Nothobranchius furzeri: one gene and its partner. The protein of the gene in region 1 purifies or fractionates together with the protein of each later gene. This does not show direct contact. Links are inferred from orthologs where the notes say so. Each region holds a gene or a part of one and is shown in the gene's direction. Other genes may lie near its edges. The genes, in order: trib1 and stk40.

The links.
Region 2: the proteins of trib1 (region 1) and stk40 purify together in Homo sapiens (affinity purification with mass spectrometry; 3 studies listed by BioGRID and IntAct, counting the BioPlex papers as one, with this or other methods). This does not show direct contact. The link is inferred for Nothobranchius furzeri from reciprocal best matches to the Homo sapiens genes TRIB1 and STK40.

What each region holds. Positions count from the first base shown.
Region 1 is NC_091759.1:11,318-15,585, reverse strand, and holds the start of trib1 (tribbles homolog 1), read left to right. Parts: upstream 1-1,170; 5' UTR 1,171-1,752; coding exon 1,753-2,064; intron 2,065-3,405; coding exon 3,406-3,698; intron 3,699-4,268. UniProt on the Homo sapiens protein: Adapter protein involved in protein degradation by interacting with COP1 ubiquitin ligase. The COP1-binding motif is masked by autoinhibitory interactions with the protein kinase domain.
Region 2 is NC_091745.1:70,998,815-71,002,633, reverse strand, and holds part of stk40 (serine/threonine-protein kinase 40), read left to right. Parts: intron 1-1,915; exon of another isoform or gene 1,916-2,119; coding exon of another isoform or gene 2,120-2,227; intron 2,228-2,865; coding exon 2,866-2,989; intron 2,990-3,364; coding exon 3,365-3,450; intron 3,451-3,819. UniProt on the Homo sapiens protein: May be a negative regulator of NF-kappa-B and p53-mediated gene transcription.

The sequences.
Region 1 (4,268 bases):
CCAACTGGAGACGACTGACATCTGATTTGTTAAAACAAGTAAAGATAGAATTACAATAATATAAACGAGAAGAAATAAAAGCATGGATAATCATCTCCAAGTCCGATTTTGAAGTAAAAGCTCTCAATTTGGAAATGTTTCGCAAATGATAAAAAGCAGTTTTTTACTAAACGTTTTGAGTGGCAGCTCAAAGACATGGATTGGTCAAGAAGAACACCAAGGTTTCTGAGACTGGTCTGGACTGAGGAGCTCAGGGAACCGAGGTGTTTGATTAAAAGCACTTTCTGTTCAGGAGCAATGATCAGTGTTTCGGTCTTGCTTGAGTTCAACTGAAGACAGTTACTGGCTAGTCCTTAATATGCTCAATGCAATCAAGTAGATCAGCTAACTTGTTAAACTCTGTGTCCTTGAAAGAGCAGTACAGTTGAATGCCATCTGCATATAAATGGTAGGACACTTTAGTAAAGCTTTTAATAATCTCCCCAAGAGGGCAAATATATAAAAGGAACAAAACTGGGCCAAGGACCGAGCCCTGGGGAACACCGTGAAGCAAAAATGTGACTTCAGACCTAATCTTGTTTACACATACAGAGAATGTTCTGTTATTTAAATAGGAAGAAAACCACTTCAGAACCGTACCAGAAATTCCTAGGACATTGTGTAGTCGATGTAACAGAATTTTATGGTCAACCGTGTCAAAAGCTGAAGACAAATCCAATAAAACCAGTACAGTACATGGGCCAGAGTCAGTACATCATTAGATACCTTTAACAGAGCTGTTTCAGTGGAACAGTGCATCTTACGAAAGCCTGATTGGAACTTATCTAAAACATTATTAAGATAAGATGACTGCTTAGCTATTTGTGTTAGCAAGCAGTTCATCAAGTGTTCTTAAGGAAATGACCAGCGACTGTGAACGCTGCACCTCACCGAAGCTCATTTCCTCATTTTTAATTTAATTTTCCACAAAAAAATATTTAAAAATCAATCTTTAATCAATTAACGGCAATTTGGGGGTGGGCAGTGGGGGGGGGGTGCCCCCCTCTGACCTGACTTAGGGGCACCCCTGTTGAAAGTGAGATGACATTCATCTTCTTCAGGAGCTTTTTATTCTAATCACAAGAGGAAGACAAGTTCTCCTGTTTGCTGCTCTAACTGGTGATAAATGGCAACATGAGCTGAAGATCAGAAAATTCCGAGTTTGTTAATGATCGTCTGAAACGTGATGAGGTGTGAGAGGCGGGTCTCATTCCCGGTGGTGCGTTCACGTTCTTGTTTATGTATCAGCGGAATCGCAGAGCTCAGTGCAGGAATGTTGAGACTCTCAACATCCTGATTTCTCTGAAAGGTAAAATCTAGCGTCACCAGACACGCGCACAGTGAGCTGGAGTCGGTGCCGCTACAGGATTGCTCAACGCTTGTGTCATCAGGAGGCTGGACTGGTCGGGCGGAGTGTTTCAGAGCTCATCACCGGAGCTTCTCACTCTCAGCCTCTCTCTGAGTGTGAGGCGGTCTCCCCTCCTCTCCCCCGCTTTCTCTTTCTCTCCCTCTCTCTCTTTTCTTTTTTTTCCCTCCTTGATTGTGGATTTTTTTTCTGATCCAAACCTCAAAAGGAAGAAGAAGGACGCGGTCTGGATTATCAGCCAACGCGTAAAGTTTGATTTGTGCCAGCTATGAGACGGAGTGGGTTCTAACCACCAAGGGACGCATCTTTTTGCTTGATTTTATTCACATCTATATCATTTTATCTTCATGGCGAGCCGGTCGTTCAGGATGAACTTGCCGTGGAGCAGTCCTGCACCCTGCACCCGGAGAGTCGCGCACAAGCGGCTGGACTCGGACGACCAGCCGCCGGCCAAGTGCGCCCGGCTGAGCGCTGAGGCGGGGGACGCGCAGGGACTCCTGGGTACGTCACCCGGGTCCCCGCTCAACCCCGCGGCCAACCCGGCTCCCCACCACCAGGGACCGTCCAGGATAGGTCCGTTCCTCCTGCTGCCGCTCGCGGACCGGGAGAGCATGCACAGTGCGATGAACACCGATACTGGCGATGAGCTGCTGTGCAAGGTATGCGCAATCAGGTCATTGTGCAATTTCTTTGAATGAATGATGTTGCTCAACAGTCCGTCTGACACGCTATCCGTATTTAGCTCACCTTTTCAGCAAAATGTCATCCTCACGCTCCCTTTGCGTAATAATGTTTCTTAATGCTTCCCCCCTTATAACCAGAAGTCTTTTAAATACGCAATCAAGACCAGCCGTCGCCTTTCTGCATGTTGTGGAAACAGTCTCCCATGCTCAGCATTCACACTGTCTCTCAACTCGGCTCATTTGCATACACGTCACTGCCAAGCCGTGACAGTAAAATGCAACATGTTCAGCAGAATAATAATAATGCAAGATTAGAATCTATCCAGATAAAAACTCATATCTGCACCAGTATGAGGCATCAGGTGACGTAATGCATTAAAAAAATCCCAGCCTGATTTAGCTTCAAGTAATGGTGACCGTCATAAGTATTCACGATTAAATATGAATATCTAAATCTAAATATTTAGAATAAAAATCTAAATATTAAGCAATTAATGCAAAATATTTACAATCAAATCGAAACATTATATTTTTAAGGCTAAATTCTAAATATTTACAATGAAATCTAAATATTAAGAAATCAATTCTGAATATTTAGAATCCTGTCTAAATATAAGTTATGTCTAAATATTTAAGACAAAAATCTAAATATTTATTATAAAAATCTAAAATTTAAGCAATGAATTCAAAATATTTAGAATCAAAAATGAATATGAAAAGTTACTTCTAAACATTGAAGTTTCTAACCAAAACATTTATAATCCAATCTAAATAAGTAATCAAATCAAACATTTAGAATACAATTACATTTAGTACATAAAGTTCCATCTAATTAGCAACAATCTAATCAAAATATTTATATTCATGTAAAAATCTAAATATTTAGAATCAAATACAACAACAGTGCTCAAATTCATATACACCTGCAGAATTTTGTTTAAACAATTGTTGCTTTCTGTAAATCCTATAAACTTTGTTTCACATATCACTCCTAAACCCACTTTTTTTTAGGTTAATTCCTTTTCACAAGCCAGAATTCCAACAGTCACATTTTCTAATTGGTGCCCCATACTCCAGATTCTGTTTAGGTTTGCATGAAAACAAAATCCCTGGAGGCCTTTTTGATTATGAATTCAATCATTTAACAAAACACTTTTGCAAAAAGCAGCCGTTGAAAATCATACATGTAATATATATTTATATTTGCCCACTTGTTACCTCCTATGATAGGAAGACTGACTCTTATTGCCTCCTTCCTTCATGTTTCCACTCTGCATCCCTACACCTCCCCTTCCTCCTCTCTGATCTCTCCGCTAGGTCTTTGACATGGCAGCCTACCTGGAGAAGATCAGAGCCTACGGGCTTCTACCAGCTCACAGAAACGTGGCTGGCATCCGGGACATCATCCTTGGTGAACGCAAGGCCTACATCTTCCTGGACAAAGACTTTGGGGACATGCACACCTTGGTGAAGAGCTGTCGCCGGCTGGATGAGGGACACGCCTGCAGGCTCTTCCGCCAGGTGGCTCAGGCTGTGGCGCACTGCCACCAGAAGGGAATCGTGCTGGGTGACCTCAAACTGCGCAAGTTTGTCTTTGCAGATGAGAAAAGGTGAGCCGATCTGATGTTTTCTTTATGGAGGCGAGAACCGTTGTGCTTTTATGTTGATTCAACCAGCAGAAAGCACAGAAGATGACTTTTAGGTTTTTAAATGATCACACACAAAAATTCAGCTTGAATTTCACGTCGAAAGAAGTTCGACCTTTGGGACAAAGTTGGCTGCAATCTGCAAATTTACCACTAGATGTCACTACATCCTGAAAGATGTTCCATGGACGAAAAAACACTAAGATTTGATTTCAACTTTTCTTTCTTTTCTGAGCTAGTTCTAAGATCAATCCTGAGAATGACCTTGTTTGGATGCTCCGGCTGCAGAATAGTGGCACAAACATGGCAGCAGCTGATCCGCTCAGACCATGTGTGCAGATTCAGACGTGGGAACAGATAGAGTAGGAGGTTCTGTACTTGTGGAGGCACACCGCTCAGCTTTCCAGATTTTCTCCCTCTCTTGTCTGTCTCCCTTTTCTCACCCTGGACATGTCTCTTTGCATGCATGCTTTGTGTTTGTTTTGCACGCCTGTGTGTGTGTGCGTGCGTGCGTGTGTGTGTGTGTGTGTGTGT
Region 2 (3,819 bases), on another chromosome or scaffold:
AGTTACGCCGGGGACACACCGGCCGCGGAAGCGCCGCGAAAATGGGACCGCCTTCATTCGGTGCCCTTGTTAAGCTATTCTAAGCGTCTGATCTGAACTGAGAAACGGCGAGCAGCGAACGAATTTCGTGAGCGATTCGCTTCTCGGCGCTTCCGCGGCCGGTGTGTCCCCGGCGTTATTCTTGTGTGTGAAAGTGAACTGACTGTGCCTGGGACATCTCATTTTGTTAGATGTTGAAGCCAAATTTGCATTTCAAAGTTAAACCTCCTGAATGTTGTTTTTAAGTTCAGTCAGAGAATGCCGTTACTGCCCTTCGATCTGCATTTAATAAAGTGTCAAAAATGGCCATGTATTTTTTCTAACATTTTTTAAATGTGTAAGCACAATGTTTCAAAGGAAATATTGCCATGAGTTTAGTAATTAACAAACAAATTTGCTAAGTACATAAATAAAAACGGGGTGCAATAATATCGCATACCGCAATATTGAGCTGCCCTGACTCACTGCAGGGGGAATTCCTCAACCGCGACAGCCCTAGTCTCCGCTTTGTTTTGGTTGTTTTGGCGTTGACATCATGCTAGCACGCAACGTTCTGTGACTCTTAAAAAAACAGTAAAACGGTGAGAAACGCTGGCAGCGAAGGCCGTTAGCGATCAGGAAACGGCTGGCAGTGAATGAGTTAACGATATTGTGTTATGATACCAAAGCAAAATTTAAAAGCACTGTGTTTGTTTTCTAACGGAGAATATACATGCCCTTATTTACTGTGTTTCTTTTGTTTGGTATAATTCAAACTCCGACTGCTAGGTGGCAGCGGTTCTGACTGCTTTCATTGTGACGGAACCACGAGATCTCACGATAACTCTGGATGTGTCTTGGAAGTAGCCTGGCCTGCCAGACTCCTCCTCTGTTTAATTCTGCACAGAGAAAGGGTCTGGCAACTCTCCTGTTCAAATAACCCCACCTCGTGAGAATTCTAACCGAGCCAATCAACACTGAGTAGCATACGACACACACCATAACGCCGAGTTTGTCGAACATGGCGACTGAAGCGGAGTTCGCTGCGCCTCTTTCCCCTGTTCTCAATGACTTGGACACAACAAGTAGACGCGCTAAAAGTCTTTCTTCTAAAGAAAGATGTTTGCGCTGTCCCCAGACTCCATTTTAACTACAGCTAAACAACTACAGGGTCCCGGACGTCACACACAGCGACGCTCAGTTCCTCATAAACAATAAAGACAGCAGCGGAGTTCGCTGCAGCTCTTTCCTCTGTTCTAAATGACTTGAATGTCTCTAAAACCACAATTAGAGGCGCTAAAAGCCTTTCTTCTAAAAAGAAATAAAAGATGTTTGCACCGTTGTTAGACGCTGTTTTTTTTTTTACTACAGCTAGAAAACTACAGCGCCGTGCGATATGGTCGGGATTTCAGTCTTTTTTTCTGATTGGTTACTTTTGAGCTGCCTAGTCCCGCCCCTCATGCGCCTCTCTGCCTGTGAGTTACCAGACTCTCTTCTCTGTGCAGATTTAAACAGAGGACGAGTCTAGCAGGCCAGGCTATCTTGGAAGCATCTGGCCTGATATTCCGATTAAGTCCAGCCTCAAATATCTCATGGCTTTCAGTATCCTTTTTCTCCAACGTCACCTGATCACATGGGTCTGCCATATCAGATGGCAAAGGCACAGTAAACAGTGAGCAAAACAATGTTTAGTATGGCTTCATCTAGTTCAAGCCCAGTTCACTTGTGGGCCGACTTTGTCTGCTAGTTCTGCCAACTGCACAGCAGCTATTACCATTTTACTGTGAAAACAACTAAATGAAAGCAATAAAAGCCACAAACTGGTTTGTTTTGACTAGCTTCAATGAAGTTTCAACATGTGTGAACAGTCTTTTTACTGTCCGCCATGTTTAAGGGGGTGGTCCCATGAAGAGCAGCCTGATGTCACGTGCAAAGGGTCAATATGTCGTACCGCCTCCCCTGTAACGTTATACAAATGGCATCACCAGATACTCGCACATGTTAGAGGTTTGGAGACACCTTGATTGGTTGTCACCCAGACATTTAAATATTTCCATCCAGTGAAAACTTGGGATGACTGCAGGGTGGCTCATTCCTCTCGATGTGTGGCTCTACTTCCTCATTACGAGAAACAGATGGTGTTTCATCACACAGACGTTCGGTATCAGCTGAAAAGAATGCACACCTCTCACTCGCTGGCTTCAGGAAGGTAAAGGAGATCGGCTCGGTCGGTTAAAGTAGCTTAACAGCGATGTGTCACACTCACTGGCATGCACAACCCTGCTTCCTTATCGCCCTGCCCACAAACCTGGTGGCTTTTCTTTTATATTTTACATTTCTGCCTTGGTAAAACATGCACTCCCTTTTAAAGTGAGGTCTGTATAGATAAGCCGGCTGTGCAGATTAAAAATCCAGGGATTTTCTAAACCCAAGTCCACCGCTGCAGGATTAAAGAGACCAACCATGAAGACTTCTGTTTGGCTCGTTTTGTGCTTTTATGGAGATTGAATCTGAGGTGTTGCCCTTGACACCAACCGCCATTATTTTAAATGGAACCTTAATGGGTTTGCTTTAGCATTGAGGTGTGTAAATGTGTGTGGAGGGGGCAGGAGCTGCCCTGAACTCTCTTTACTCATGACCAGCCTGCGTGACCTCTGCTGAAGCTCTACGTTCGCTCTTAATTCTTCATTAATGCCGTTTTTCTTAAATTACCGTCTAGATTCTAGACTTTATGACACAAAGTGTTACGATCTACCTTTTAGAATGTGTCTTTACCACCAGGTGTGTGTTTTCCCTCTTACTTGACTATCTTTAGCCCACAAACTAATCAGATTTGTTTCCTCGTAGAGCTCCAGGATGTCCAAGCGGCGCTCGTCAGAGAGGGGAGCTGGAGAGACGTCGAGGGCCAGCCAGCTGCAGTGTCCCGGGATAAATGGCAGTAATGCCAAGAGAGCTGGCCCCTTCATCCTTGGTATGGGATTTTATTACCACGTTTTACCCAAAGTGTTCAGAAGAAGTGGCAGCATTTATTTGCAGAAAACTCGGGAGAACTGTGAGCTGCGGAGGGCTTACCTACTCCCGCCTGGGACAAGAATTTGAGGAATTTTGCTGATCCCCATGACATTGGCCAGAAAGGCCCAAGTCTGAGTTGGAACAACTTTTCTTCCTCCATTCTTTCTCGTTGCCTGTTTGTTTTTCTGTGCCTAAGCTATTTGCAGCATTTGGTGCCAAAGGCAACGTTACACGTTGGGTGTTGATGGGCACACGCACATGGAGCCCTTAATGAGTTACAGTGAGAGCACATGCTCTTTTGCTTACACAGCTGTTCTTTTCCTTACCCTTGCAGGACCTCGCCTGGGCAACTCACCGGTGCCGAGCATAGTTCAGTGTTTGGCCAGAAAAGACGGCACAGACGACTTCTATCAGCTGAAAGTAAGTCTGTCGGAGTCTGTGCGTTCTTTGCTGCGATCGCTGTTTCACTTTTGTTCACACAGTCGCTTAAACCTCAACAGGCGATGCAGAGTCAAAGCAGTAATGTCTCAGAAGATCCTCGAACCTTTGACCTTTCTTTGGTGTTCGTTTTATTGCCCGTCTTTCACAGCAGAATGTGAGCCTGGAAGCATCTTTACTAGGATCATCTGATGCTTTTCTAACAACTCGGGGGGGCTCTAAAGTAGGGTGAGAGGATAAAGAAGGAAAGGAAAGCCGTTCACCTGGACGTCCTCTCCAAAATCACCATTTGGGTGGTGAAGCCCGGGGCACACTGTGCTTTTCAGCTGTTGCACATGACTGTTTCACGCC